Linked DNA regions of Sus scrofa. The protein of the gene in region 1 interacts with the protein of each later gene in a biochemical or structural test. Links are inferred from orthologs where the notes say so. Each region holds a gene or a part of one and is shown in the gene's direction. Other genes may lie near its edges.

Evidence for each region.
Region 2: the proteins of CREBBP (region 1) and SMAD2 form a complex in vitro, tested with the Homo sapiens proteins (2 studies listed by BioGRID). The link is inferred for Sus scrofa from reciprocal best matches to the Homo sapiens genes CREBBP and SMAD2.
Region 3: the proteins of CREBBP (region 1) and ATF2 form a complex in vitro, tested with the Homo sapiens proteins (2 studies listed by BioGRID). The link is inferred for Sus scrofa from reciprocal best matches to the Homo sapiens genes CREBBP and ATF2.
Region 4: the proteins of CREBBP (region 1) and FOXO4 form a complex in vitro, tested with the Homo sapiens proteins (2 studies listed by BioGRID). The link is inferred for Sus scrofa from reciprocal best matches to the Homo sapiens genes CREBBP and FOXO4.
Region 5: of the proteins of CREBBP (region 1) and AKT1, one has a biochemical effect on the other in vitro, tested with the Homo sapiens proteins (2 studies listed by BioGRID, with this or other methods). The link is inferred for Sus scrofa from reciprocal best matches to the Homo sapiens genes CREBBP and AKT1.
Region 6: the proteins of CREBBP (region 1) and KLF4 form a complex in vitro, tested with the Homo sapiens proteins (2 studies listed by BioGRID, with this or other methods). The link is inferred for Sus scrofa from reciprocal best matches to the Homo sapiens genes CREBBP and KLF4.
Region 7: the proteins of CREBBP (region 1) and NKX2-1 form a complex in vitro, tested with the Homo sapiens proteins (2 studies listed by BioGRID, with this or other methods). The link is inferred for Sus scrofa from reciprocal best matches to the Homo sapiens genes CREBBP and NKX2-1.

What each region holds. Positions count from the first base shown.
Region 1 is NC_010445.4:38,386,881-38,391,165, forward strand, and holds the start of CREBBP (CREB-binding protein), read left to right. Parts: upstream 1-1,485; 5' UTR 1,486-1,687; coding exon 1,688-1,772; intron 1,773-4,285. UniProt on the Homo sapiens protein: Acetylates histones, giving a specific tag for transcriptional activation. Mediates acetylation of histone H3 at 'Lys-18' and 'Lys-27' (H3K18ac and H3K27ac, respectively).
Region 2 is NC_010443.5:97,481,424-97,485,691, reverse strand, and holds the start of SMAD2 (mothers against decapentaplegic homolog 2), read left to right. Parts: upstream 1-1,468; 5' UTR 1,469-1,469; coding exon 1,470-1,705; intron 1,706-4,268. UniProt on the Homo sapiens protein: Receptor-regulated SMAD (R-SMAD) that is an intracellular signal transducer and transcriptional modulator activated by TGF-beta (transforming growth factor) and activin type 1 receptor kinases.
Region 3 is NC_010457.5:81,073,774-81,077,764, reverse strand, and holds the start of ATF2 (cyclic AMP-dependent transcription factor ATF-2), read left to right. Parts: upstream 1-1,191; 5' UTR 1,192-1,386; intron 1,387-3,991. UniProt on the Homo sapiens protein: Transcriptional activator which regulates the transcription of various genes, including those involved in anti-apoptosis, cell growth, and DNA damage response.
Region 4 is NC_010461.5:57,131,404-57,135,348, forward strand, and holds the start of FOXO4 (forkhead box protein O4), read left to right. Parts: upstream 1-1,145; 5' UTR 1,146-1,619; coding exon 1,620-2,084; intron 2,085-3,945. UniProt on the Homo sapiens protein: Transcription factor involved in the regulation of the insulin signaling pathway. Binds to insulin-response elements (IREs) and can activate transcription of IGFBP1.
Region 5 is NW_018084979.1:3,052,673-3,056,960, reverse strand, and holds the start of AKT1 (RAC-alpha serine/threonine-protein kinase), read left to right. Parts: upstream 1-1,488; 5' UTR 1,489-1,503; coding exon 1,504-1,759; intron 1,760-4,288. UniProt on the Homo sapiens protein: AKT1 is one of 3 closely related serine/threonine-protein kinases (AKT1, AKT2 and AKT3) called the AKT kinase, and which regulate many processes including metabolism, proliferation, cell survival, growth and angiogenesis.
Region 6 is NC_010443.5:248,606,775-248,611,020, reverse strand, and holds the start of KLF4 (Krueppel-like factor 4), read left to right. Parts: upstream 1-1,446; 5' UTR 1,447-2,040; coding exon 2,041-2,045; intron 2,046-2,162; coding exon 2,163-2,283; intron 2,284-2,947; coding exon 2,948-3,941; coding exon of another isoform or gene 3,942-4,040; coding exon 4,041-4,205; intron 4,206-4,246. UniProt on the Homo sapiens protein: Transcription factor; can act both as activator and as repressor. Binds the 5'-CACCC-3' core sequence. Binds to the promoter region of its own gene and can activate its own transcription.
Region 7 is NC_010449.5:63,486,640-63,490,606, forward strand, and holds the start of NKX2-1 (homeobox protein Nkx-2.1), read left to right. Parts: upstream 1-1,167; 5' UTR 1,168-1,264; coding exon 1,265-1,341; intron 1,342-1,617; exon of another isoform or gene 1,618-1,789; coding exon of another isoform or gene 1,790-1,929; exon of another isoform or gene 1,930-2,025; coding exon 2,026-2,411; intron 2,412-3,316; coding exon 3,317-3,967. UniProt on the Homo sapiens protein: Transcription factor that binds and activates the promoter of thyroid specific genes such as thyroglobulin, thyroperoxidase, and thyrotropin receptor. Crucial in the maintenance of the thyroid differentiation phenotype.

The sequences.
Region 1 (4,285 bases):
GTCCTGCGGATAGTGGGCACGCGGGCGGGCCTCCGGGGGAACCTCACACCTGACTGCAGCACCTGCGGGGTCCAGATGGTTGCGTAGGGCACGAGGGCCCTAAGCCCTGATGTAATGGGGCCTTCTGGGCCCGGCGCAGACTGAGTGTGCTTGGCTGGGAAGCAGCGCTCACCACTTCCCGGTGCAGGTGAGGGTGTCGGACCTGGGGCCCCTATTGCATCAGGCTGGGGAACAAGGGCTCAGGAGTCCTGCGTCCTCCTCACTTCACGTGGAGGCCTTCGAATCTCGGCCCTGCCACTTCCTGCCTCAGTTTCCCCATCTGCACTCGCTCACGGGCGGACCCAAGAGCAGTCTGTAACCTGCAGAGGCCACGACACAACGCTGGCATCCGGCGGGGAGAAGCTGCCAGCCCTGGTCACCGAGAAGGGTCGCGGAGCAGGGGCGCGGGGAGCCGGGACTGGGCAGAGTCGCCTGCGGGACGGGCAGGCCCGGGCGGCGCCAACTCCGCGCCTGGGGGCCCGGCTTGCTGCCAGGCCGCAGCCAGACCCCTCGCCGCCCAGTCGCCGTCAGAACAAAAGTGGCGGCGGTGCCCGGCGCCCGGCGCCCCGCAGGCCCGGCCCCCGCCGGGCAGTCTAGCCGCCCCGCCACTCGGCCGCACGACGTACGGCAGCCGCGCCTTCGGCCCTTTCCGTCCGAACGCGCTCGGCTCTTTCCGCTGCGGCCGGCGCAGGTGGAGGGGGCGGGGCGGGGGCCGTGCGTGGTGACGCCGCGGGGGGGGGTGACGCACCGGCGTGCCCCGCCCCCTCCCCCTCCCCGTTCAGGCTCTGGAAAGAGAAGAAAAAAAACTTTCTTTTTTTTTTAATTGAGGAATCAACAGCCGCCATCTTGTCGCGGACCCGACCGGGGCTTCGAGCGCGATCTACTCGGCCCCGCCGGTCCCGGGCCCCACAACCGCCCGCGCACCCCGCTCCGCCCGGCCGGCCCGCTCCGCCTGGCCCTCGGCGCCCGCTCCGGCGGCCCCGCTCGCCTCTCGGCTCGGCCTCCCGGAGCCGCGGCGGCGGCGGCGGCGGCGGCGGCAGCGGCGGCGGCGGCGGCGGCGGAACGGGGGGTGGGGGGGCCGCGGCGGCGGCGGCGGCGGCGGCCCCGCTTCGCTCATTGTTTTTCCTCGCGGCGGCGGCGGCGGCGGCGGGCCGCGGGCAGGGAGCGGAGCCCGGAGCCCCCCGGTCGTCGGGCCGCGAGCGAATTAATTAAGTGGGGCGCGGGGGGGGAGCGAGGCGGCGGCGCGGCGGCGGCACCATGTTCCCGGGGACTGCCTGAGCCGCCCGGCCGGGCGCCGTCGCTGCCAGCCGGGCCCGGGGGGCCGCCGGGCCGCCGGGGCGCCCCCGCCGCGGAGTGTCGCGCTCGGGAGGCGGGCAGGGGATGAGGGGGCCGCGGCCGGCGGCGGCGGCGGCGGCGGCGGCCGGGGGCGGGCGGTGAGCGCTGCGGGGCGCTGTTGCTGTGGCTGAGATTTGGCCGCCGCCTCCCCCACCCGGCCCTGCGCCCTCCCTCTCCCTCGGCGCTCGCTCGCGACTCGCGGCTCGCGCTCGCTCTCCCCTCGCAGCCGGCCGGGGCCGGCGCCGACCCCCGCCCCGGAGCCCTCGCCGGCCCCGCCGCCCGCGCTCGGGGCTGTTTTCGCGAGCAGGTGAAAATGGCCGAGAACTTGCTGGACGGACCGCCCAACCCCAAACGAGCCAAACTCAGCTCGCCCGGCTTCTCTGCGAATGACAGCACAGGTGAGTAGGGGGCCGGGCGGGAACAGGGGCCCCGGGGGTCGCTGACAGCCCTGCCCGGAGGTGAGTGCCCCCGGGGGACCCGAACTCGAGGGCGGGCGTGCGGGGCCCTTTCCCCGGGACCCCGGCCGCGGAGGGGGAAGTTTGTCGGAAGACTGCCTGGGGCCCGAGTGGGGCGGCACATGCCCGGTGCGCTCGCATAGCCCGGAGTTGGCGAGCCCTCCTCGCGTGGAGCCCGAGTGGTACTTCCAGGGGGGAAAAGTAAAGCGGAGCGTGTTTGTTCTGCGTGGTGAGTCCCTTTGCCACCCTCTGCCGCCGTGGGTCGACACACGCGTGGCTGTTTGAAGGGATGACAGCGGAGGGTGCGTTTGCCAGTGAGGGAAGGAAAGCGTGCAGCCCAAAGGGGACCCGAAATGTTTTCTGAATTGGTAGCACATTCACAAGGCAACCAGAAGACACGCAGAGCTGCAGCCAGCCTCTTGAGTTACGACTTAGAAGTTTTTTGGAATGTGCTGCTTGGGAAAAATGCTTAGTAGTTACTTTGAAAACTCTTGTTGTTGGTCTCCTGAGCTATCCCATTTTTCACAGCCCCAAACTTCGGAAGACGTCCTAAGTGGGGTGTTTAATTTCAAGACTGTAACTTCGGAAGAAAGTTAAATAGCAGATTGATCCGGGCTGCAATCTGCAAGTGAGCTTGTGTTGCTTTTACAGTGAAGATGTAAGAAGAAAAAATATGTTAAGGAATGGGGGAATTACAGTCTTCCTCCCTAGTTTTTTCGGTAGGATACTGAATAAATTCACTGTTTTAAACATCTTCCCTGGAAACTTTCTTAGGTGATCACATCAATTACCTAAGGGAAGTGTTTTAGTTTTCTATTCATTTATAGTTTTAGGTTCTTCTGGGCTGGTTCATGGTAGCGTTATGAACTAGTTGTATTTCCTCTTTCAGAGCTCTCCTTTGCGTTAAAAACTTGTGCGCTTCGGTGAACGATTTGATCCCCAGCGCAGCTTGCATTTCTCCACTGTGATCTTGCAGTAGCAGCATCTGTAAATCAGTTTATAATGAATGGGTCAGAATTGAATTATATTGCTGCAGCAGTGCCTTCAGATTTGCAGTAGACACAGCTGTTCAGCTTGTGCAAACATTTCTGTGACTGACCACTAGCGTTTTTCTGCTAGTGGTCTAAAAATCTATTGCTATTGTTGGAACAAAACTTGAGTTTTGTGGCTGCAGTTTTACTACAATTCCTAGACTATTTTTTAATGTAGAATTGAGAGAAAGTGTAAAAAAAAAATCATGAGATTCTTGTCTAGTTGAAATGAAATTTGTTGAAACAGTTGGAGAAGAGTCAGTTAAGTCTCATGGTGTATAAAAGTCACCAATAATACTCTTCTTTAAAAAAAAAAAACTGATGAAGTGTTGTGTTTGATGTTAATTTTGTAAAATCAGCTTATCTGAAATGAGAAATGTGAGAACAACCATGATTTCAATGCTCTGATTTTACTGCATTTAAAAAACTCTGATTTTACTGCAGAATAGCTCATCTTGGCTCCATTAATCTTGGCATGTTTGAGTGAAAAATCTTTAATCATATGAAATATAGATCATACTGGACAAGTTTGCTTTGAAGCTTGTCCTCTGAAACGTAACTTTTGAATGGCTTTGCAGCTTTGCTGTTGTTGATTGAGGTTATTTTAGACTTTGCTTTTTATACAGAGGGACAAGGGAGTTACGTGAGACGTAGCAGAAAGGCTTGTCCCACTGTAAACTTGTACCTCTTTTCAAGATGGCACCCAAAGGACTGGCTCTTGGGGCACTTCTGTTATTGGATGGTCAGATATCTACTTAATGTGTGGCTGATCACAGTAAAATTTATCAGAAAGGGTGGATTTTGACCACTTTTTTCCCTTTCTAATTTTGATCCTTTTGAGGCACTGGAGCTCTTTTGCTTTTCCAAATGTGGAACAAAAAAGTCAGTTTTAACAGCTCTGTTTAAATAATCCAAAGAATAAATTCACCTTTATATGTGTGTCGGGTCCTTGGTGGCGCGTTCGGCACCATCATGTCCCTGTGAGAGGGTCTCTTAGTGTCAGGGCCTTGGAAGGGCCCTCACTGAGCACATGAAGCAAGGTACAGCCTTGTCTCCCGTAACTGCTGGTCTGAAGCAGGGCTTAAGGATGTCTGTCAAGGCAAAGCAAGGACTAAAGGGATTAGATTACACGCAGTCAAAGGATCGAAGGCATTTTGTTAAATGGAAACATGGGGAGAGACCTGAGAATAACATTCTCGAGAGACTCAGCCTCATTTAAATGAGGAGATATGGGTTTGTGGCTTCTAGGATAGAATTGGACCGGGCAGGAGTTCCCGTCGTGGCGCAGTGGTTAACGAATCCAACTAGGAACCATGAGGTTGCGGATTCGGTCCCTGCCCTTGCTCAGTAGGTTGACGATCCGGCATTGCCGTGAGCTGTGGTGTAGGTCGCAGACGCGGCTCGGATCCCGAGTTGCTCTGGCTC
Region 2 (4,268 bases), on another chromosome or scaffold:
AAGAGACCATCTGTGGGCCCCTCTCCTATCAAAATTCAACACTTTCTGGAATTTAGTTACATTTAGCTTATTACTTTGCATCTTTAACTTTTAGACGGGTTCAGAAAAACCATGATTTTATAGTTTATCTGTCTTGTTTTGTTTGTTAGGGTGAAAGTGATGGTCTCTTGTGATTTGCTACATCCTGTTTAGAAGTGGAACTCCTTCATGGAATACTTTCTGATATATAGTCTGGCAAATACCTGATAAAATTTATCTGACCTCACTCAGTTTGATTTTCTACAGTATTTCTCAGAGCTGCATTTCTAAATCTTTTCCATTCTTCTCAAATCTAAACTCTCTAGTTCTGCCCTCAGTGGTAAATGTTCTTATCTCTTACTTTGAGATTAAAGCTGTTGACATTAAATTTTAATTGAGGGACTTGGTAGAGAGAGTAGGAAGAATTTATGGTAGGTGCTTAGAAAACTAGGCAGATGAAAAACTGACATAATTAGCTCTGGAGAAAAAGAAAGAGATGTACAAAAAAGGAAACAGGATTATATAGTAGTTTACTACTAATCTCTTCAGGTATAAAACTACAGTTGGAAGATAATTATTTTCAGGGCTGGAGGAAAAGCAAGTGATTGTGGTGTAAATCTTCATTTTCAATAGGTATATTTAACTTGATACTTCAAGGGGGACCATTGCTTAGGTATAAATAGCAAGAGTAAAGGTTCAAAGATTTTAAAGAGTTGTACCTTGGTGTGGGGAGAAGAGCTTTATTTGACTTTATCCACTATGTGGGTTGTTACTTAGATAGAGAAAAAAATATTTTTAAAATGAAGCTTAATTAAAAGTCTTCTCAAAGTGAACCACATCTCTTCCTCACAGTCTCTCGTTACCTTTACTTCTGGTTGTTTACTTCACACTTGATGCCTTTCTCCTTTCCCCTTGTTATGACCTTAGACTTTACTTTATGATAGTTATGAAAGTTTAAAACTTCGGGGAGATTGGCCCTGTAAATTAAAAAAATGTATTTTTGTTAAGTGTCTTGAGAATAGACTGAAATTCTAAAAACATAAGGAAAACTTTGTTTTAGTGAAAATATTTTATTGCTACTATTAAAAGGTAAAAATATAGTAGTATGGGTAGTGATTAATGGTCCAGTGTTGATAAAGATAAAAAAATTTTCTGTCTTGCAAAATTGTTCTCTTGGCCCACTTATCATTGTCTTGTTTTTAGAAGGATTTGTTTCCACAGTTCATTTAAATTCGTGAAGACTTGTCATGGGTGAAAAAGATAACTTCTGAAAGTCTGTTCTGAAAGTAATAATTTGAATTTCTTATCTCATTTTGTAATTTGCTTTTGCTCCTGTGTTGAAAGCAGTAGTTGATGGTAAAGTTAGCCTCTCAACTGTCCTTTCCATATCTTTTCTAGGTTAGATTAAGGAGGATATTTTCTTAGTGTGGACCGCTGCCTTTGGTAAGAACATGTCGTCCATCTTGCCATTCACTCCGCCAGTTGTGAAGAGACTGCTGGGATGGAAGAAGTCAGCTGGTGGATCTGGAGGAGCAGGTGGAGGAGAGCAGAATGGACAGGAAGAGAAGTGGTGTGAGAAAGCAGTTAAAAGTTTGGTGAAGAAGCTAAAGAAAACAGGACGATTAGATGAGCTTGAGAAAGCCATCACCACTCAAAATTGTAATACTAAATGTGTTACCATACCAAGGTAAGTGTGGTTAGGTCAGAAACTTGATGGCCATCCTGTTGAAAATTGCTTAAAGGAATCTGCAGGAAAGTTACTGAAATTTTGTTACATGCAATTCACCTGTCAATAGTGATTATTAAAATATGAAATCTATTTCTAACCTGTCATATTAATTTTGTTGGACACGATAAGACTTGTTTATTTTATAAATCCTTTTCTTGAACAGCGAGAAAGTTTAATCAAGCAAAATAAAATACTTAGATTTTACTAAGGTTTATCTTCACTGTCTTCATTTGCCTTCATTGCCTAAATGCTTCATTGTATGTTATCCTAATTTTTGTGATTGAGTGACATTTGAATAAAGATTCAAAGATTTTTGTATCACTAGTGCAGTAGTGACTGACAGTTTCCTGCTCCTCTGGTCAAAACTTCAGTAAGGAGTTAACAGAGGCTGCTAACATTGTGACGAGTTATGGCTTTTGTTTGAGTTGCAGCATTATTTCTAAGAAAGAACAGTATATGAGGCAGCTTCTTAGGTGCCATAGTCAGATCCTGTCTTGAAGACCTGCCTCGTATAAGAGAAGGACCTGTTACCTAAGAGGTTGAAGTTTTATTAGTATAAATTTAATCATTTACAGATCATTACCACTGTCAGAAATTCTGGTTTTTCAAATAGCATAACGAGTAGTTTTTAAGTGTTGTAGTGTACACTACTGTAGTTGTGCACATTGCAGGGTTATGGGGAGTGTGAGTTTATAGCATTTTCTAAAATGATTGTTTGCAGTGCCATACACATAGGCTAGCATATGGCACATGAAACCATTCTACTTGACATGTTTCTAATGAGTTTTGGGAAATAACTCTGGATGCTTGTGATAATAGCTCCCAGTGACACCAGCCTTTCTTTCTTGCAGATACTAACTAGAATGTTTCCTGCCTTGTTTTGTTTGGTAATAAAACAAAATTACCGATTACTTTCCATTTCTTTTACCTTGTTTCATGTATTTCTTTTTTTTTTTTAACTTTTATTTTTATTTTTTTGCTTTTTAGGGCCACACCCATGGCATATAGAGGTTCCCAGGCTAGGGATCGAATTGAAGCTGTAGCCACTGGCCTGTGTCACAGCCACAGCAACGCCGGATCTGAGCCGCATCTGCAACCTACACCACAGCTCACAGCAATGCTGGATCCTTAACCCACTGAGCGAGGTCAGGGATCAAAACTATATCCTCATGGATGCTAGTCAGATTCGTTTCCACTGAGCCACAATGGGAACTCCTTGTTTCAGGTATTTCTTAAGTAAGGGTCACTTTTCTTGGTTTATTCTTTTGTTTTAGAAATGCTTATGGATGCCTTCCGTGTGAAAGGCACTGGTTTTAGGCATATGGGACACAGCATGGATGAAATGCGGAGTTCCTGCCCTCCTGAGGGACAGATACACACTGTAAACAAGTGGACAAATTAATGTAATTTGAGATGGTAATGAGGACAAAAGACAGTGACTGAAGGATTAAAAAGCTGCTTTGGATTGGATTGTGACACTTAAGCTAAACTTGGAGAAGTAGCAGGTAGCTGAAGGAAGTCTTCTAGGCAGAGGAAGGGGCAAGCATACAGACGCCAGGGTGGGACATAGCTTGTCGTATTGGAGACTTAATGGATCGAAGTAGAGATGCAGTAACACCAAATGAGCACAAGGCTTGGGAGGAGTCAGATTAGATGGGGCATCAGGAGGCGGTTTGGATTTTAGTCCCAGTACAATAGGAAGCAAATGAAGATTTTTAAAGTGGATTTTTAAATTTAAGTAAATTTTAGAAGAAATTTTTATCTTTATATCTTAGATCACTCTGGCTGCTGGAGACAAGAGGGTGTGGATAGTGGAGTGTGTGGGCATGTGTGTTATAGACTGGTGTGGTATAGTGGTGTGGACGCAGAGGAATGAGGCGACTGTTAAAGTAATCCAGAATGGAGATGCCAGAGGCTAGGCTGGGCTGGCGAGGTGGTGGTAACTCGGGAAGTGGATGAATCTGGTTGGAAGCTGAACTGACAGGATTTGCTAATGAATTGGCTAGGAATAAGTCAGGCCATATTTGTTGATTTTTCATTGTATAGTGTCTGATGTTTCAGTTCAGTAAACATTTAGAAACATAAAAGTCTTTGCTCTTGAGTTGCTTACTTTCTAGAAAGGAAGATAAACTTTAAAAAAGAAGAAAGATAATTTCATAACATCCAGGGGTTGTTCTGAAAGATGTATGCTTAGGGACCTATGTCCAAAGAGGGGGAGCCTTCCCTACTCCATGCTGTGTGGAAAGTTTCCTGCTGGAGAAAGATTGATGCCTGGGTTGAGTGGATGTCAAGGAGGACTTTTCAGGAGAAGCTGAATCCCTCCAGAGAGGCTCTGTGGTATTGAGGGTGGCAGTTGGCCAGAACTGGTGAAGGGTGTCCTGGGAGTTGGAGGTGGCATATGGCAGGAGCGAGAGGCTGTGTGGGTGTGAGGAGCCCCCACATCCTGCACTTAGGGGTTCACCCTGAACCCCAGCGTGGTTGGGTGAGAGTGGAGTCCTCGGTGTTAGGTAAAGAAGACTCC
Region 3 (3,991 bases), on another chromosome or scaffold:
AGCGAAGCCAGGGACTGAACCGTGTCCTCATGGATACTAGTTGGGCTCCTCACCGCTGAGCCATGGTGGGAGCTCTTCCCCCCTTCTTTTTAAACAGGTACTTTCAGAGCCTGACAGCTGTTTCCTTGGCATTGCATCAACCTACTAAGCGGTAGCATTAATATTTGTGGAAGAGTGCAATTTCTAAGCCATATTCTAATTTGGTGTCATTTGGTCCTCTCTAAAATATTAATACGGAGTTTTGAGGTTTTAAAGGTTTGAAATTATCGCTACTAAAATTGATCTATTTTTATCTATAGTAAGTAAACTGATAAAACAAGGTACACCATAACATGGAGGATTTTTTCTTATTAACAAGTCCTTCCATTGTTTTAAGTTATGGAGACATGGTAGAAGGCCACAATATTTCCTTTTAGTAAGTTACTTAGAATATATTTGTATGCCAATATCATACACCGGTGCTGGGCGCTTTGAGCCGGAGCAATCAGTTTCAGCTACAACTTAGTAAATTCGAACAAAAGCCGTTCATAGTAAAGGCTTTTTCGTTTATTTTCAGAACTGACATTTTGCTTTCGCGCCTTAGGCGTGTATGGGGGCTCGGGGGTAATTTCCAGCAAACTTCGCCTCTTCTAAACTTCAATTTAACCGAACCCCGCCCCTGCCTCCGCCCCCTCCCCACAGGCTTCACGGTAGCCCGAAGGTGGGTTTCGGTGCACGCCTCCCTACGCTTTACTCTTTTTCCTCCCGAGGGTCGGGAAATGACAGCAACGGAAATACCAGGCTCCCGGATATGACTTCTTCTGCTTTCTCTCCCGCTACTTGCAGCCTTTCCAGAGTTCACCTTTCCTCCCTGCACATCAACAACCTCCTCTAGCCACCTCAAGCAGCCACCTGCTGAGCGCCCCAGTCTCGCGCCCGCCTCCAGCCAGCTGCCAATCACCCTTCTGCAGCTCCTGGGTTACCGAGACAACACTCTTTCGACTGGTCCCGCCCCGTCCAGAATTGCTTCCCGCCCATCTGGCTCTTTATCCAATAGCCAGCGGTCGAGTAGTCTTTGGCTCCCGCCCCCTTCACCCCGGCCCTCCTGCAGTCCCGCCCCTTTTCCTACGCCTCACGGAACCACCTGACCCGGAGGCGCTTGGTCTGAAGGAAAGCAAGAAGGGGCGTGTGCGTGGAGGGGAGGGGCATGAGAAGAAAGGAGGGATGCCGGGAGTGGGGCGGAGAGAAGGGTTGTCAGTCCGATCTCGCGAGAGAGGACGGAAGCCTGTGGGAGCCCGTGGCCTTTAAAGTGTGGTTCAGCCCTTTCCTCCTGGGGTGGTTGGTAAACACCGCTGAGCTCGGGTATTCTCAGCCACTGAAAGAAGCATGAACTAGTGACTTGGAAAGGTGAGTGGTGATGGGGAGAGGGCTGCAGGACTGCAGACTGTAGGGATACGGAGAAAGAAGGCACTAATATGGCGACGTCGCTCACCATAGTCCCCACCCCCCGCTTCCCATCACCTCGGGCGCTCCTGACTCGGTGCCTAGCCCGCGGGGCGGCTGTGGCTGTGCTGCCACCTCAGCGGACCGCGCGGCGTCCGCTTCGCGAGCCGGACCGGCCAGGCTGGACCGTTAGGTAACTGGCATTTGTTGTTCCGGCCCCTCCCTGCTCGCGCGCTTTCCTAACGAAGAGGAAAAGAATAACGGCTCCTCTTAGACCCCTCCCCCTGATATAGCTTCCCCTTCTTTGGTCAGTTCAGAGGTCCCGGGGCACACGTCGGATTCGCCGAGGATGCAGGGAGACCCCCCGCTTCAGTCCTTAGATTGAACAGGAAGAGGGCTGGCTCTGGGCTCCCCACTCAGTGGTTTGGGGACTGTATGTGATGGTGGTGGCGGGGGGCAGGATCATGAGGCGCGGCTGAAAACAGGGTCAGGGTCTCTGGCTGTGGTGGAAGCTGGTGGAACAAATGGTGTAAGAACCTGGAGCTGGAAGTATCTGCCTTTTCTGTCCTTTCTGCCCCTTCATACTCTCGCCACCCCCTGCATTTTCCCAATGGGGCGGGGCTGAGGTGCGGGTGCAGATTGATTCTGGTATTTTCCCCCATTTTTTTTTTTTTTAACCTTACTGGGTAGACTGCAGAGCTTCTGTAGGGGAATAACCTGTGCTTTTTATTGATGCCCTAGGGACCGGGCCCGAGTGTGTGTGTGTGTGTGCGCGTGTGTGTGCGTTTTCTGTGTTCGCTGGTTGAACTGACGCTAGGAGGAGGGAGAAGGCGGAGGGGCTGGGAACTATTTTTGTTCCCTTAGGTAGCATAAAATTGTCTTTGCTTAATGAAAAGTTTTAAAACTGGTCAGGACAGGAGCAAAAGTACTGTGAATATGGTGGAGTAAAAGGGATTACTCCTGAGGAACCTTAGGCCTGTGACTAATCCCTTAATTATTATGTGAAAAGTTACAGATTCTTAGGAATTTTAAGTTTTGGAGACGGCAACAGTAAATAAATTTAATGTATATGTTTGAAATCAGGAAAAACCGGTTCCTTTGGGCACACTTTTTGTCCTATGTGAAGAAATCTATAACCATTGTCAGTAATCACCTTTCTAGGCACAATCTTAAAGCCTATATCCAAAACTATGAAGGTGAGAAGCTTGTTAAAAAGTCATCCCTACAGGGTTAAGTGCCCTGGAAGACAAATACAATAGCAATTATATTTTGTAATTGAATTTAAATTTATTACACTGACTTGAAGAATCCGCTGTAAGCACTGTTTTCAAAACTACAGGAACATCATTGTACAGTATGTTCAAAAATAGAGATGCCCTTCTTCAGATCACGAAGCAATTACGTTCATGGATCTTTAAGGTCATTAATAATTTAATTCTAATCTTTGTAAAATAATTTGTATGAATATTCCAAATGCAGTGTGTGCTGCTTTCCTAAGAAACATGTTTAATCTTGTTTTGAGAGAATGCTACTGCCATTAAGTTTTAGTTATTTAAAGTGTAATAGAGTGGTAGTTTAGAACACAGGTGTTTGGTTTTTAGTTGTCAGTAAGGAAGGGGCTTTCAGGGACTTTTGTGTGTTGTAAGATACATGCCTTCTGTAGATTTGATTGTATTTTCTGGAATTTGTTTTTTGAAATACCTTATTAGAATGTTTATTTAGTATTTGGGGCACTATATTTATTAAATGTGCAATCCAGAAATTCCTGCATTTACTTTTTTACTTAGAGTATATGTTTCATATTTTTAAACTGAGATTAACAGAAGTGATTGTCAGCTCTTTAAGAAATAATTTGAAGTGGTGCTTTTTATTGGTATTCAGGATTTAGAGACTATATGAATATCATTTTTTTTTTTTGTCTTTTTGCCTTTGCTAGGACCGCTCCCCCGGCACATGGAGGTTCCCAGGCTCGGGGTCTAATCGGAGCTGAAGCCGCTGGCCTATGCCAGAGCCACAGCAACGCAGGATCCAAGCCACATCTGCAACCTACACCACACACAGCTCACAACAACGCCAGATCGTTAACCCACTGAGCAAGGGCAGGAACCGAACCCGAAACCTCATGGTTCCTAGTCGGATTCGTAAACCACTGTGCCACGACGGGAACTCCTATATGAATATCATTTTAAAAAGATATGCTTTACATCAAACTTCTACTCCCTGTAATTAACATTAACTCTGAAGAAATCATCTATAAAGTTTTTCTACCTAAATTTTTGTATTTTGGAAAAGTTGGGATTTAATGATTTGTATATCTTCTGCTGGTAGATTAAATTGTTAGATCCAGTAAATAATCTCACCATACATGCTGTTTCCATTCATTTTGTCTTCAGGCTCTTCCTTCCAATATGAAATAAGCCTATAAGCTGGCACCTCTTTTTCTTTGATATTCCTAGTTTAATGTCCTTAGAAAAGGTAAAGTAGTTGAAGTCTCCCTATTTTAAACCAGATTTTCACCAGAAACTCTCATCTCCACTGAATAACAATTATTTTTTTTAAATTAATAAAG
Region 4 (3,945 bases), on another chromosome or scaffold:
AAAGCAATCAGCACAGTACCTGGCACGGAATAAATGCTCCATAAATTTTAGTTGTTATTACCAGAAATATTTCTCAGAAAAGTTACTTTGTTGACAGCACAGAACATAAACCGCAGTTGGGAAGAGATTCATGGTGGGGGGCCCCGATTAAGACGTTGCTGCAATTTAGTCCCGTGATAAGTAAGATCTTGAACTGGGATTTGGACGTGGGAGGTTACGGAGATGAAAAGACGAAGGGTAAATCTAGTTTAGGAGACTGGATAGATTAGGACAACCATTAACCAAATTCTGAGATAAGATATCCAGAGGATTGGGGGTGTGGGTGCAGGAACAGATAATGCGTTCTGTTTGGAACCTGTTGAATGAGAAGTGAAGCCGCCGAAGATGGGAACCTGGAGAACATCAATATTTGAGGAAAGGCCAGAAGAGCCAGTGGAGAAAACTGATTGGTCAGCAACCGCACTATCTGTGAGAACTGCGTATGGGGAGTTGAGGGTGGTGGGGGAGACACTATCATCAGCTATCCATTTGTTTATGTGCCCCAAACCCTGCACCCAACTCCTCAACGCGACAACAGCCTATTTACTAGCCAGTTCTTTACTTCTTGCCTCTTGCAGGGACCGCATTCTTTCTTTTTGCCCTCTTCTAGCATCTCCTCACACGGTCATCTAGGCGATCCCCGAATCACAGGGAGGACGGGGGAGGGGGCGGGGTGCGGGGAGGAGGAAAATGATTTTTAAAGAAAAGAAAAAGTCCGCGACGACCTCTAATAATTAATGTTCCCTCTCTCTATATCCTGCCACGCAGCTCTCCTGCCACCCTTATCGGGCTCCTAGCCGCGAAGTAGGACGGGAGATGTAGTCCCCAAGCCCGACCAGGGTGGCACGACTAGAGAACTCGGTTTCCCAACCGACTCTCCAGGCGCGTGCGCAGATGGCTGCCCCGGCGAGTGGTAAACAGAGACGTCAGGCGGGGGCCGCTGCTTGGAGCAAAACAAAAGGGAAACCCGGGGGGCGGGGGGTGGGGGGGGTTGATAGGGGGATTGGTGCGGGAATTCGAGAGCCTGGGGCCGCCGGGACGTGGACCGGATTAAGAGTTGGGGGGGAGGAAAGAGGCGGGGGGTGGGGGAGTCAGGGGAGGGGCAAGTGACGCGGGGGAGCGGGGCGTGGGGGAGGGCAGCGATCCGGGTGGAGGAAATTCGGGAGGAGTGTCCGGGGGGCAGCAACTTAAAAGGGGGAGGGAACTACGGCTTAGGAGACGTTCTGTGATGGGAGTGCGATATGTGAGGGGATACGGTGCCTCAGATTTAAAAGAGCAGGAAGCTGAGTGAGAGGTTGGGGAAAAAGTGCCTTCGCTAGGCGGTGGTTACAGGTGGTGTCTCGGAGCTCACAGCTCCGAGGCTGCAGGCTGCTGTAGTGGAGGAGAGGATCAGACAACTAACTGTGTGGAAGGGACAGCTTAGGGGCTAGCGTCCAGGGGTGAGGGGGAAGTTCGAGACTTTCTGAGGACTGGCAGGAATGTGCCTCCTGGCCCTCGGTGCTTCCCCCCTGGGGGGAGGCATCGCAAGGGACTGTGGCAGGCTCCTCTGAACGCTGAGCGGCGGAGGTCCAGCTCCACGTATGGATCCAGGGAATGAGAATTCAGCCAGACAGGCTGCCGCGACCGTAGACCTCGATCCCGACTTCGAACCCCAGAGCCGTCCCCGCTCCTGCACCTGGCCCCTTCCCCGACCAGAGCTCGCTCCCGAGCCGCCCGAGCCGCCCGAGGTGGAGTCAGGTCTGGGAGAGAAGGTACACCCGGAGGGGCGCTCGGAGGGGCGCTCCCAGCCGACCCTGTTGCCCAACCGGCTCCCAGACCCGGCAGGGGGCCCCCAGCCCGGGATCCTGGGGGCTGTAACAGGTCCTCGGAAGGGAGGCTCCCGCCGGAATGCCTGGGGAAATCAGTCATATGCAGAACTCATCAGCCAGGCCATTGAAAGCGCCCCCGAGAAGCGACTGACACTCGCCCAGATCTATGAGTGGATGGTCCGCACCGTGCCCTACTTCAAGGACAAGGGGGACAGCAACAGCTCAGCAGGATGGAAGGTAACTATGAACCCCCCTACCTCCATCCCAATACCTGTCTGCCCCTGGGTCCCCCAGTCTCCTTGCTACTACTCTGGGGCCCCTTTTACACCTCCACCCCAGAGATCCACCTTCCCTCCTCAATTAGACAAACATTTACTTAGGACATAGTATATGCTGCTCGGTGCTTGATGCTGGAGGATCACAGATGAATAAGACACTGTCCTTGTCCTGGAGAAAAATTGAATTCTCTGCTCACTGCTCAACACTCCCAGCACTTTGGCTTGGGCTGCCCCAAACACTTATCCCCACAGAGAAGTCTTTATCCTATGTACAGCAGGAACTGTGTGGATTCCCCACAGGAACCTAGCCTTCCCTCCTCCTCCACCTCCCACCCCTACACCTTTTCTCCCATTCCTGTGGGATTGCTTGGATTCCCTGCTTGCCTCCGAATACCTCAGGGTAGAAGCACTGTTCTAGAACTCTGCTACCCAAGAAGATGGAGTGAAGTGGCAAAAGGTAAAAAGAGTGGTATCCATGGGGTGACGTAGCGGATCTTTCGCACTAAGAGAAAGGAGGAGGCTGCTTCAGTTTACCCTATATAATGCCAGGAAACTCTGCCTAGTAAGGGGCTGTCCAAGTTGTGGGGGAAGTTTTCATTCACTCTTGAGGAATATTCGAGGGGAAAAAATAGAGAGATAAGGCTCTGACTTTAGAGCACAAGGTTGGGAGTTCCATTGGCTTTGCATGAAGAAACGCTGAGGGACCGTCTCACTAGATGCTCTAAAAGCTTGTCCTGAGAAACATGGGACTCTAATCACGAAACAGGGGAGCTTCAATTCCTATTGACGTCTTGTACCCCCATAAGTGGTGAGATCGGGATGCAAGGAAATACAGAGGGTTGAATGAGCAGAGGGTCTTCTAGGTAGAAGAGATCAAGGGAGCAGATCTACAGTATCCCTAGGGGTTGGGCAGAACAGAAAGCAGGACAGCTGACTGAGACCCTTGGCACTATTTCTGGGTAGACTGCCACACGAGTCTCAGCTCATAAAGAGCTCCCCTCCTTGGACCCAGCCTACACAGCTGTTTTTTCTTTTCCCTTAGGTTTGTTTTCCAGGGTAGAAGAAATAACTATGAGTTGCTAGTTTTTTGCTGTGGGAGTGTAGTCCCACTTATATGGGGTTTCTCAGTTTACAAAGTAATTGAGTTTAAAAAAAAAGTAGTTGAGTTTTTTAAATTGTATTCATCTTCACAGCGATTCTGAGATTCCACGTTTTACATATTAGGAAACAAAAGTAAAGCAAGGTTGGGAAACTTGCCAAAATCGATAGAATGAAGATTTGAACTCAGGTCTAACTGTAAATCGTATGCCCTTTCTGCTAATACATGCTGCCATGGAATGATGGCAAGGCCAAATCTGGGGCCCCCAAGTCTCTCACCTCTCACTCCCCACCTCCACCCTACTCCAAGGGGGGAGGCCTCAAGCCTAAATTGGCTTCCCTGGTGATGTGCCAAGGTTACTACCACCCCACCAGGGGGCGGCACTCACCTAGAACAAGAAGGCTTAGTTTAGGCGGCTAGGGGAGCAGTTAGCAGTCACACCTGCCCCCCCTTTCCAACAGGCAAGAACAACAGGCTTCTAGGGAGCTGACCTCTCCAGGAAGGTGGCTGTACCATGTACTAGTTCCAAGGCCTAAAGAAGAAAGGATGGGAAGTCCCATCGTGGCTCAGTGGTTAACGAATCCAACTAGGAACCATGAGGTTGCGGGTTCGATCCCTGGCCTTGCTCAGCGGGTTAAGTATCCGGCGTTGCCGTGAGCTGTGGTGTAGGTTGCAGATGCGGCTCGGATCCCGAATTGCTGTGGCTGTGGCGTAGGCCAGT
Region 5 (4,288 bases), on another chromosome or scaffold:
GGGTCCTAGCCCCACACCTCCTGCTCTTCCTCCCCCAGACCACGTGCCACCCTCGGCGGCGTGTGGTGTGGTGGGTGCCAGGCCGTGGGGGACGTGCCTGGCGCAGGTGCCCTTGCCCTGTCCCTCTTGCGCTGGCTGCCCTGCCTGCCCTCCAGGGCGCCCCTGCCCCTCCACTCCCTGTTGCCAGTGAACCCAGGACCCCCGTGTGTCTTGTCCTCTCCTGTCCCTCCAAAAGAAAAAGCCGTCTTTTCCCAGTCGGTTCTTCCTCCAGATGTGGGCTCTCCCCGTGTGCTAGACGTAGGTGACTGGGCCAGGGGCAGAGGTCACGTGGTGGGGGCGGGAAATGGGTGGGTTTGGGTGAGATGTTGTGGGAACCAAGGATGACTCTGACTGGGGCTGGAGGTGGGAGGTGGGGCTGTTTCCCATGATGGGTGAGGAACTAGCGTTTTTGGGCCTGGGTCGCGGGGGGGGGTGTTCGGCTACGTCCTGGCCTTGGTCCCCCGCGGGCAGGTGGCGGTGCAGGAGAGGGGGTAGTTTGAGGACGTCTCCGTGTTTCCCTGTGGCGCCCCCACCCCCGCTGTGCCCTCTCCCTCGAAGGAACTAAAGCCTCCTTTGGGGGCAGCTCTGGGAGCAGTGGGGGAGCCCTGGGCTGGGGGGGCAGACGGCGCCACCTGTAGCACAGGTGAGAGGCTGGACCCCCCCGCCCCCCGCCAGGGTCTGATTGTGAGGGAGGGTGGGGGACTGTGCCTGTCCTCCAGCTCCTCACAGACCCCCTGATCCCCCGCCGCCACTGCCAGTGCGGCTCCCGCCACGCAGGTGACAGGGTACAAGGAACTGGTCTGCCTTCTGTCGCGTCTGTCCTGCGTCCAGCCCAGGGCCTGCCCTCAAGGGGCCCCGTGGGCACAGACTTGGCGGTTGAGGGGTGGCTGCAGTCCGTCCTTCTCCTGCCCCTCCGGGCAGGGGCTCCATCTCTGAGGAGTGCCCCGGCTACTTCCCCGGTGTCCTGACTGCCAGGGGGGCCCAGGAGAGCCGGGCTGGGTGGCCAGCGCTGCAGCTCGAGTCCCAGCCCTGCCTGACCTGCAGCACCAGGCAAGCCCTCGGGCCTCTGTCCCCTGGTGTCTGGCCAGGGAGCCGGTCCCAGGAGGGTGGAGTCAGGCTGCTGAAGGCTCAGAAAGTTGGGGGGGGGTGGGAGAGGACTGGGCTGGGAGGGGCCTGCAGGGACCCCGCCTGTGTGACAGGTGGCCCTCAAGCTATGAGTGGGTGTCCCCAGAGGCAGGCCGACTTCCTGAGCAAAGTGGGGTATCCCAGGCAGCTGATGGGCAGACACCCCAGGCTATGGCGGCCACTGCGAGTGCTGGGCAGCTCAGCTCAGCTCAGCCGCAGGTGCTGGGGGCTGGTGGGCTCCGTGTGGCTCAGAAATGCGCATTTTCAAAGATTCGGTCTTTTGTGTGCTCTCCTGATTTTTGAAGGCTGATAGTTAAAAAAAACCAACCCTCCTTCAGGATGCAGGTCTGGCTGGACTCGGCTGCAGCCTCCTGCTGTGTCTTCAGACTGCGTGTGCTGTGCCAGGCCGCGGGCCGGTGTGCGCAGCTGCTTCGGGACGTTCCCCAAGGCCCGGGCCTCCCTGCCTACTTGGCCTGGTGCCCGTGGTCTGTGCACTGTCTCGGCGGCAGCCCAGCCCTGCGGGGTCCCAAACCTAGAGCCCGTGTCTGGCTGTCCTCCTGGGTGACCCCACCCGTGGATGGGCCGCCTGGACCAGGTGGGTTGGGAGAAGGGAAGGGGGCAGCCAGATGCTGGCCATGGGCTGAAAGAAGGGGTTGCGGGCTCACAGGACGAGCCGGGCCTGGGAAGCGGAGGGGGTGCCGGCCTGGGCCTGCCAAGGAGCCAGCGGGCAGGTGGAGGGGAGCGGGGCTCCTGCCCCTGGACCCGGCCTGGACCGGCCACCTGCAAGGCCCGCGGGCATGTGTGCACAGGGGAGGCGCGGGCCTGCTCACCACCCGAGCTCCACCCCAGGCACGGGGCCGGGGGGGCTGGTCCCTGGCGTGTCTTGGGCCTTGCTGTGCCCCCTGCCTGAGCCCCTTTCTGGCCTGGACCCTCGCCGGCTCCAGGCCCTCACCACCCCTGCTGCGCTGGTGCCAGGCACCCTGGTGGGGAGTGGGCTTCCTGGCCGTGGTGGCTCCTCTTCCTGCCCCGCTCAGCCCTGGCCGGATCCTGCTTCCTGCTGTGGCCGCAGCGGCTTCCCTGCCCTCAGGCGGCTCTGAGCTGCCCAGACGCCACTTCCATTTGCTGACACGAAACCCACGGTCCCGGCCCTGGGCTCACATGGGGCGGGGGCTGTGGGGGCGCAGCCTGGCTCCCCTTTCGAGGCGACGGTGGCTCTGCTGAGTGGCCAGCGGGCCGAGGCCTGCAGGGACCTGTTCAGCCCGCCTGGGCGCACGGTGCCGCTGCGGGGGCTCTGCCAGGGCGAGGGGCTCGCGGGAGCGTGGGGCAGGGTCTGCTCCCCTTGCCCTGTGCCCCGGGCCGGGTGAGGGGCTCCCCAGGTGCCGCTCAGGTCATGCTGCAGTGACTGTAGCTCCAGTCCGGGCAGTCCCTCATCCACAAGCAGTACCCTCTGCGAGGGCCCAGCACTGGCCTGGGGCAGATCCGAGCCGGCAGCCGGGCTGAGGGTGGGCACGGTGCTGGGCCCCTGCTCCTGGGGCTGGGGTGCTCTCTTTGGGACCCCGGCGGCACCAGGCTGTGGCCGTGGTCGTGGCCAGCCAGCCGGTGTGGGGCCGAGTTTCCTGTTTTGTGAGCGCGTTGAGTTTTCTCTTCAAAACAAACAACAAAAGAGGAAGCTCAGGCGTCCTTGGCTGGGGGGTGAGGGGTCACTGCCCGCCCCGCTTGGTGTCCCTGGGCTCCTGCCTGATGGGCCCCGAGTGGGCAGTGCTCCTGCCTCCTTCCTGGCCCTGCCGGGCAGGGGAGGGGGCTGGGGCGCCGCTGGGGTCCCGGGCTGGCTTCTGCGGACACCCCAGCTGCCCCAGGTGGCATGGTGTGCACGCCCAGGAGGGGAACCCAGGTCTGGGCGGGATGGGCTGGGATGCCAGGCCCAGTCCGGAGCCCTGGGCCCGGACCCCTACCCTGCGCCAGCCCTAGGGAGAGGCCTGGGCTGGGTTGCGTCAGGCCAGTTCCTAGAAGTGCCACGGGAGGGCGGGGCGGGGGGGCTGGCTCGGCTGTGGCTGGCGTCCCCTCTCCCCGGGCACACCCGGCCAGGCTCGCGGCCAGTGCCCTCCCCGCGGGCCTCCCGCGCAGGAGCCGGCGGCTGCCTCTGTGCCCACAGAGGGTGGATGCCCACTGCTCCCGCCCCCTCGCCGAGCCTGGCCCCGCAGCCCCAGGAGGAGGCCCCCCAGCCCGGACCTGGCCCCTGGCGGGTTGGCAGAGGGCCCTGGCTCCGGGCTGGGGTGGAGCTGCGTGCGCCCCGCTTAGCCACGCCCTGCTTCCTCTTGAACCTTCAGAAGGGACAGGCTTGTGTGTCAGAAACAGCAGGATCGATGGTGGCGGTTCTTTGGTGGCGCCTCTGCTGACCCTGGGGGCTTTAGGCTGGGGCACTGGGTTTGGGGTCACCGATCCCTGCCCCCTGCCCCGACCATCTCCAGGGTGGTCGGGCCTGCCCAGAGGTCTCAGTGCTTCTCCCAGCAGGGGCGGGAGCCCACCCTGGGCCCTGCTGCTGAGGCGCTGGCGTCCCCCTCGGGCCGTGGGGGCCTCACAGCCAGTGCTGGGGGCTGTGGCGCGGGAGCCAGGTGACGCCTGGAGCGGGGAGGATGCAGCCTGCCCCCGGGTCACAGAGGAGGGGGCCGAGGGAGGGGGCCCTGTCCCCACCAGGCCCCGCTGTCCTCCCGGCTGTCCCGCCGCAGATGTCACTCCGGTCAGGGAAGAGCAGGTGTCGGGCTGGGAGGCCTTCCTCTGCGCCTCTGGGCTGGCCCCTTCCTGTGCGGGTTGTGCTTCTTCCTGGGTGTCGGTGCCCGGAGCCCCTTGCACCCCAACCCGGGCCTCGCTTAGGGAGGCTGGGGGTCACTTGGACGCCGAGGTCTTGCCTCTGCCTCCTCTGGGTGTTTGCAGGGAAGGGGTCTGGGCAGGGCCCCTGCCCACGGGGAGGGCTCGGCCATCCCTCTTGCCCCCCGCCCCAAGCCACCCTGCGGGAGCTACCACAGCCCGTCTGTGCGCCGCCGTCCGCCCGCTCTGTCTCCGCCTCTGCCTGCTCAGGACCCCGAGGCCTTTCTGGGTTTGGTTGGGTGGCTCTTGGCCCAGGAGT
Region 6 (4,246 bases), on another chromosome or scaffold:
ACTGGATCTCAGTGAGGGGTGAGCCCACACTCTGGTCAGTGCTAGGGCTTCGACCCTTTTCCCAGCGGCCAGGACCCACTGCATTAACCTTCAAGAGCGCTCCGCGGAGAGGGGAGTAGGGCGGAGGCCTGTGTGCGCCTGAATCCAACAAAAACACCTCGCAAGCCTACGTTTAGAAAGCGATACCTAACACCACACTCACGTTTTTTTAAAAAAAGCACTGCTTGCAGAGAAGATGAGAGCGAAAACATTTCCCGGCTGGAAAAGTACTGATCACAAACTAAGGGGAGGGGGGTGGGGAGGCAGAGTTATAAGACTGAAATAACGATCGCAGTTTCCTCTTCTCTTCCCGGTGGGCAGTGACAGCCGCCGCGGGCTCCGTGTGACCTTATCAGGAACCGGGGTTCCAATGCGTCGCTCCACTTTCTGGCATGGGGCCACTTTCCAGCCAAGTCCCTTCGGTGGGCTTGACCGCTCGAGACAAGGGAGCGAGTTGCCGGTTGACCTTTACCTCGCCACTTCACCTCTTTATGACTCAGTTTTCTCATCCATAAAATGGAAAGGACAGTGCGTGGCTTGCAAAATGCTTTGAGATTCCTGGTTGAAGGTATCTCCGCGCCTCACGCCCCTCTTCCCTCCCCCACCTCACGAAGTGAATTTTGAGACTTTCCCGTCCCTTCCTCTCTCCTTCAATAATATCAAAACCGTAGCTCCATTTCCCATTCTGGTCTTTTACAGCCTTTTCCAGGCGGAACACCCCTCCGGCCTTCTCAGGCTCCCAGTCTTCGCCTTGCCGTCCTGGGCTTCCATCTCGACCCCCTACCCGCGACCCGGCAAAAGTGCCAGCGAAGAGCCGTGTGACGCCAGGCCAAGGGCCCGCAATGGCACTCAGGGACTAGAGCCGGGCTCCTGCGTGCGTAAGAGAGGTACGAGCTCTGGATGAGTCACGCGGATAATCGCGCTCTTCTCTAGGGCGCAAAGTGCGCGGCGAGCGCTCACCCGGGCTGTGGTAGTGGCGTGTTACCGTCCCCCTTCGCCCCCAGCAGCCTTCTCGGCCGCAGGCTTCGAACCTGGGGAGCTGCCCGTGGCGACGCCGACTGTCCTGGTCGCGCGGCGACCGGACCTGCGCCCGGTATACCCAGCGCCTGAGCCACTGCGCCACCGCCGCCGGCGTCAGCGCGGCTCCTGCCCGCCAGCTGCTGGGCTGGCGTCACGGCCCGCCGTGCCCCGCCGCGCCCCTCCTTCCTCCCCGCCCCACGTGCGCCAAGTTTGTTTATTTAGCTGCTATGGCAACGCGCGGGGGGGGCCGCGCAAGGGAGGGGAGAAGAAAGGGAGGGGGCGGGGCCTGGCGGCGGGCCCCTGCGCACAGCGGGTAGGAGGCGGGGGGAGGGCGGGAGCCAAGAAGTTATAAGTAAGGAGCGCGCGGCGGCCGCCGGCAGTTCCCCGGCCGAGACAGCGAGCGCGGCTGCGGGCGCGCGGGGAGCAGAGGCGGTGGCGGGCGGCGGCGGCACCGGGAGCCGCCAAGTGCCCCTCCCCGCCCCTCCGGCCCCCACCCACCCACCCACCTGCCCGCGGCCAGCGCCCATGGCCGCGCGCGCCCCGCGCAGCCCCCCGGACTCCGCGCCCTGCGCCGCCGCCCAGTCCGCAGATCAGCGCCGCCGCAGCCAGTCTCACCTGGCGGCGCCGCCCGCCCGCCACCCCGGCCACAGCCCCAGCACCCAAGGCCATAGCCGCGGCGACCGCGACAGCGGTGGGGGACACTGCTGAGTCGAAGAGAGCGCAGCCCGGCCACCGGACCTACTTACTCGCCTTGCTGATTGTCTATTTTTACGAGTTTACAACTTTTCTAAGAACTTTTGTATACAAAGGAACTTTTTTTAAAGGCATCTCTTTTATATTTAATCCAAAGAAGAAGGATCTCTGGCAATTTGGGGTTTTGGGTTTTGGCTTCGTTTCTAAGTCTTTTCCCCCTCTTCGTTGACTGGGGTTCGGGTACCCCCGCTGCTTCGGACTTCGGAGGACCTCTGAGGCCCCACATTAATGAGGTAAGTGCGGCGTGGGGGTGGGGGAGTAGGGAGGAGTGAGGACCGGTGGGACCCGCCAGAGCGGCCGTCAAGAGTGGCCCCTGACTCAAGCCTCTGTGCTCCCCACCCGGCCCGCAGGCAGCCACCTGGCGAGTCTGACATGGCTGTCAGCGACGCACTGCTCCCGTCCTTCTCCACGTTCGCGTCCGGCCCGGCGGGAAGGGAGAAGACACTGCGTCCAGCAGGTGCCCCGAATAACGTGAGTGTTGTCACGGGCTGTCGGGAACCTCTAGTGGGCTTCTGTGGGTGGGGTGGGGACGGGCGGAGCCCCGGGGTCACCCAGAACCCCTCCGGACGAGGGGAGGGAGTAGCCACCGCACGGGCTCCGCAGCCTTCCCAGGATGGCTTCCGCGCTCTTGGCTCAGCTGTGCTTGCGTGTGGTCCGGACGGTGTGGAGCCGCCGGGGGCGCACACCGGGCCCGCACACGTCCCGGAGCACGCAAGCGGCAGGGCGGGCGCGCGAGCTACCGGGCGGGAGGTGTCTGTGTCCCCAGACACTGGCTGGGCGGGAGTGAGTTTGGCGCGTAGGCGTCCCCGTGGCGAGGGCGCACCGAGAGAGCTTCGGTGTCCTGATTCTTGGGGCGGCGGGAGCGTCCCCTGGATCTGGCGGGGGAGGGACCCAGGCTGGCGAGCCGCGGCGCGCGCTCACAATCCATGGGGCAGACACAACATAACATCCTCCATATACACGCACCGTTTCTCTTCAGACCCAGCCATGATTTCGACGCTGGCACTCTTAGTTCCCAGGCGCTTCCTGCCGGCCAGGTCCCCACGTCTAGGCGGTGTAGGCGCGGCCAGCCCACCACTACGTCGGGCGGCAGTTAGGGACTGCACTGACGGTATCTCTTGTCCTGTCCCGGCAGCGCTGGCGGGAGGAGCTCTCCCACATGAAGCAAAGACTTCCCCCGGTGCTTCCCGGCCGCCCCTACGACCTGGCGGCGGCGACCGTGGCCACCGACCTGGAGAGTGGCGGAGTCGGCGCGGCTTGCGGCAGTAGCAACCCGGCTCTTCTACCCCGGAGGGAGACGGAGGAGTTCAATGATCTCCTGGACCTGGACTTTATCCTCTCCAACTCACTGTCTCATCAGGAGTCAGTGGCCGCCACCGTGTCCTCGTCGGCTTCAGCCTCATCCTCTTCCTCCCCATCGAGCAGCGGTCCCGCCAGTGCGCCCTCCACCTGCAGCTTCAGCTATCCGATCCGGGCTGGGGGCGACCCGGGCGTGGCACCGGGCAGCACTGGAGGCAGCCTCCTCTATGGCCGGGAGTCTGCACCTCCCCCGACAGCTCCCTTCAACCTGGCAGACATCAACGATGTGAGCCCCTCGGGCGGCTTCGTGGCCGAACTCCTGCGGCCTGAATTGGACCCAGTGTACATTCCGCCGCAGCAGTCGCAGCCGCCAGGTGGCGGGCTGATGGGCAAGTTTGTGTTGAAGGCATCGCTGAGTGCCCCCGGCAGCGAGTACGGCAGCCCATCGGTCATCAGTGTTAGCAAAGGCAGCCCAGATGGGAGCCACCCGGTGGTGGTGGCGCCCTACAGCGGTGGCCCGCCGCGCATGTGCCCCAAGATCAAGCAGGAGGCTGTCTCCTCGTGCACCGTCGGCCGGCCCTTAGAGGCCCACTTGGGCACTGGACCCCCTCTCAGCAATGGCCACCGGCCGCCTGCCCACGACTTTCCCCTGGGGCGGCAGCTCCCCAGCAGGACTACCCCAACCCTGGGTGCGGAGGAACTGCTAAGCAGCAGGGACTGTCATCCTGCCCTGCCGCTCCCCCCGGGCTTCCATCCCCACCATGGGCCAAACTACCCACCCTTCCTGCCGGATCAGCTGCAGCCGCAGGTCCCACCGCTCCATTACCAAGGTCAGTCCCGGGGAATCGTAGTTGGGGCTGGGGAGCCCTGCATCTGCCGGCCCTCTGGGGCCCACGGAATGGTGTTGACCCCACCTTCTTCACCCCTAGAGCTCATGCCACCTGGTTCCTGCATGCCAGAGGAGCCAAAGCCAAAGAGGGGGAGAAGGTCGTGGCCCCGGAAAAGGACGGCCACTCACACTTGTGATTACGCGGGCTGCGGCAAAACCTACACGAAGAGTTCTCATCTCAAGGCACACCTGCGAACCCACACAGGTAGGAGGATAGAAGCTGGGGGGGGGGGACAGGGGGTTGGT
Region 7 (3,967 bases), on another chromosome or scaffold:
TCCAGAAGCCTTTTTAACCGGCCCCCGCGGTGTCTTGGAGGCTCCTGCGGATCAGGGAGTGCTCCGCCCTCCCAGTTCCTAGCTAGGAGAGGAGGCTAAAACAGCCAAAGAGAAAAACAAAACAAAACAACTGCAAAACGTTTAAATTCCAATGAGAAAAGTCAGTGGGTTTCAGGATCTGCACTGCGCAGGGCTCGGCTCCGTAGTCCACTCTGCTGGAGGCCCTGGCCTGGCTGGAGCAGCGCGGCGGATGCCTCCGGCCGGGCTGGGGAGCGCAGCCCACAGCTCCTCCTCTCCAGGCGCCCAAGGACCCTCAAGGCGTGGGGCTCACACTTGAAGCCTGGGAACGCGCAGACAGGAAACCCACTTCCTCCTAAGCAGTTTCTTGCTAGCCGGATGAGAGGCGCCCAATTGAAGCAGAATGATCCTCATCTACTAATATCCAGCGTGGCCACAAAGCGACTGGCCATTTACGCTGCCACTTTAAACAAAGATATTTGGTTATTCCCAGGGAAGCAAGTGCACTTTTGCATGGCTGAGCTCCGGGTGGAGGCAAGCTTCAGCCCAGCCTCCCGCCCGCTGGGCTGCTCACGCCTGGGGATTCGCCCCCTCCCGGCCAGCACATCCCTCCAGGGTTCAGGCTAGTTCCGCCCGGCAACAGGCGGGCGGGCACTCACGACGTTCCCTGCCCAAGCCCTCCCTGAAGCATCAGAGGGGAAAACAGCGTGACTCTGGGCTCGGGTCCTGGGGCTGTGATGTCCTCGGAAAGTCAGCTCCAGTCCCAGAACCCCGCGTGTCCGGGCGATGGGAGAGGGTCGGGGACATCAGGTTTGTTCGAGGTGGAGCAACTAAAGCGATGGCGCTTAGCGTCAATCCCCCCAGCCTCTCAGCTCGGGTGGCCAGTGGTGTCCTAGTCTTAGCCAGGGGCGGGGGTGGGGAAGGGTAGCCGCGTGTGGGTTGGGGGGGGCGTGAAGCAGGGGGCCCTGGCCCTCTGAGAAACCCCTGCGCTGGGGGAGGGGGGCGCGGAGATCTGGGACAGCCTCTCGGCAGCTACAGTCGATCCCCTGCTCAGCGCCCCCTCCGCCCGCCAGGATTCTCTCTCGGGTAGGGGGAAAGGGGGCGGGGAGCAGAGGTGTCCTTCTGACGGCGGCAGAAGAGGCAGACAGACTGACAGACCCACTCGCAGAACAGTGCGGTCCCAGGGTTCGTCCCCAGACTCGTGAGCTCCTTTGGTGGCGGCTGGGGCTCGGCACCGCGAAGCCAGATGTGGTCCGGAGGCAGTGGGAAGGCGCGGGGCTGGGAGGCCGCGGCGGGAGGGAGGAGCAGCCCCAGCAGGCTCAGGTGAAACCCCCACCCCGTCCCTTGGCCCACTCCTTTCCTGTCCCCGCCCGGGGAACCCCGACCAAATTGGAAAGTGGTTCACTTTGTAACTCGGCAAGTTGGTTGCAAAGCAGCATTCACCTTCCTTCCTACCCACCATCACTCCTCCTTGGCTACTCCCAGTCCCACCTCTTGCCCTCCCCTCTCTCGGTTCCCTCCTCCTTTCCCTCCCCCACCTCCCCCCACCCCGCGCCGCCCGCACCCCACAAAAAATGGGGGTGGGGGTCCAGGGGAGGGGGGGGAAGAAAAGCTTCGGGTCGCGTCTCTGCCTCTCTCTCTCTCTCCCTCCCTCTTTGAGACCTAAAAATCCTGACAAGTGAAACTTAAAGGTGTTTACCTTGTCATCAGCATGTAAGCTAATTATCTCGGGCAAGATGTAGGCTTCTATTGTCTTGTTGCTTTAGCGCTTATGCCCCGCCTCTGGTGGCTGCCTAAAACCTGGCGCCGGGCTAAAACAAACGCGAGGCAGCCCCCGAGCCTCCACTCAAGCCAATTAAGGCGGACTCGGTCCACTCGGTTACGTGTACATCCAACAAGATCGGCGTTAAGGTAACACCAGAATATTTGGCAAAGGGAGAAAAAAAAGCAGCGAGGCTTCGCCTTCCCCCTCTCCCTTTTTTTTCCTCCTCTTCCTTCCTCCTCCAGCCGCCGCCGAATCATGTCGATGAGTCCAAAGCACACGACTCCGTTCTCAGTGTCTGACATCTTGAGTCCCCTGGAGGAAAGCTACAAGAAAGTGGGCATGGAGGGCGGCGGCCTCGGGGCTCCGCTGGCGGCTTACAGGCAGGGCCAGGCGGCACCACCGGCCACGGCAATGCAGCAGCACGCCGTGGGGCACCACGGCGCCGTCACCGCCGCCTACCACATGACGGCGGCGGGGGTGCCCCAGCTCTCGCACTCCGCCGTGGGGGGCTACTGCAACGGCAACCTGGGCAACATGAGTGAGCTGCCGCCGTACCAGGACACCATGCGGAACAGCGCGTCGGGCCCCGGATGGTACGGCGCCAACCCAGACCCGCGCTTCCCCGCGAGTAAGTGAGGCCGCCCCACTGCGGGGCCGCGGGCTGAGCTCAGGAGGCGCAGAGAGAGCCGCCGGGAAGGCGCGGCGCCTATGAGCTGCGCGGTGGGCATCAGGGTGGGCGGCCGGGCAGTGGCGCCAGGGAGTCGGGCACAGGAGCTGGGGAGTCTTCCCTTGTTGAGCTGATGGGTTCCAGAAGAGGCACTTGGTAGCTCTGGGGTCCTGAGGGCAGAAGCTGGAATTCGGTGTTTGCCAGATGCGGCCAAGTGGCCGCTCTGCTCTGTGCGGGAGACCTTGGATTGCTGAGGGTGGCGTCCCTCCAACTAAGAGAGCCGGGACAAACAGGGCACGGAGAGGTGGCCTGGCCGGGAGGGAGGTTTTCCCGGCTGGGATGCGCCCAGGCCCCTGGCCTGGCCCACTCTCCAGTCTAGGCAGGTGGGAGGGCGCGCGGCTTAGAGGGGGCTCTAAATGGGCCGAAAGAGTGCCCTCACTGGGGCCAACGGAGGGAGAAGCCAAGAGGCAAAGAGTCTGGGGTTTCTAGCTTTCAAAAATGAACACCTCTCTCTGCTAAGCTCCCAAAGCTGGGGTCTACCATCGGACCCCAGCTCCTGGCCTGGGCCCAGTTTGCTGCCTGTGGCCCGCTAACCATGAAAGGAACAGGAGCAGCCTTTCTCCACGCCGCTTCTTTGGGGTGGAGCACTGAGACTGAGAGAGGTAGCGGGGTTTGAGGCAGAGAGCTCTCCAGCAAACACTTCGAAGACGCCATGGCCTGAGGCAGGCAGCTGGGCCTCCCAGGGTGGAGGCAGCCTAGGTGAGGAGGGCGCCGTCGGGGCGGGCCGGGCCGGCCAAGGGCGCAGAAGGCAGAGGCGGTCTGGTCCGGCCCGGCCCCTGCCGACGTTGTGCGTTTGTCGCTTACAGTCTCCCGCTTCATGGGCCCGACGAGCGGCATGAACATGAGCGGCATGGGCGGCCTGGGCTCTCTGGGGGACGTGAGCAAGAATATGGCCCCGCTACCAAGCGCACCGCGCCGGAAGCGCCGGGTGCTCTTCTCCCAGGCGCAGGTGTATGAGCTGGAGCGACGCTTCAAGCAGCAAAAGTACCTGTCCGCGCCCGAGCGCGAGCACCTGGCCAGCATGATCCACCTGACACCCACGCAGGTCAAGATCTGGTTCCAGAATCACCGCTACAAAATGAAGCGCCAAGCCAAGGACAAGGCAGCACAGCAGCAACTGCAGCAGGATAGCGGCGGCGGCGGCGGGGGCGCCGGGTGCCAGCAGCAGCAGCAAGCTCAGCAGCAGTCACCACGCCGCGTGGCTGTGCCAGTCCTGGTGAAAGACGGCAAACCCTGCCAGGCGGGCGCCCCGGCTCCGGGCGCCGCAAGCCTGCAAGGCCACGCTCAACAGCAGGCGCAGCAACAGGCGCAAGCTGCTCAGGCGGCGGCGGCAGCTATCTCAGTGGGCAGCGGTGGCCCCGGCCTGGGTGCGCACCCCGGCCACCAGCCCAGCAGCGCGGGCCAGTCTCCGGACCTGGCGCACCACGCCGCCAGCCCCGCGGCGCTGCAGGGCCAGG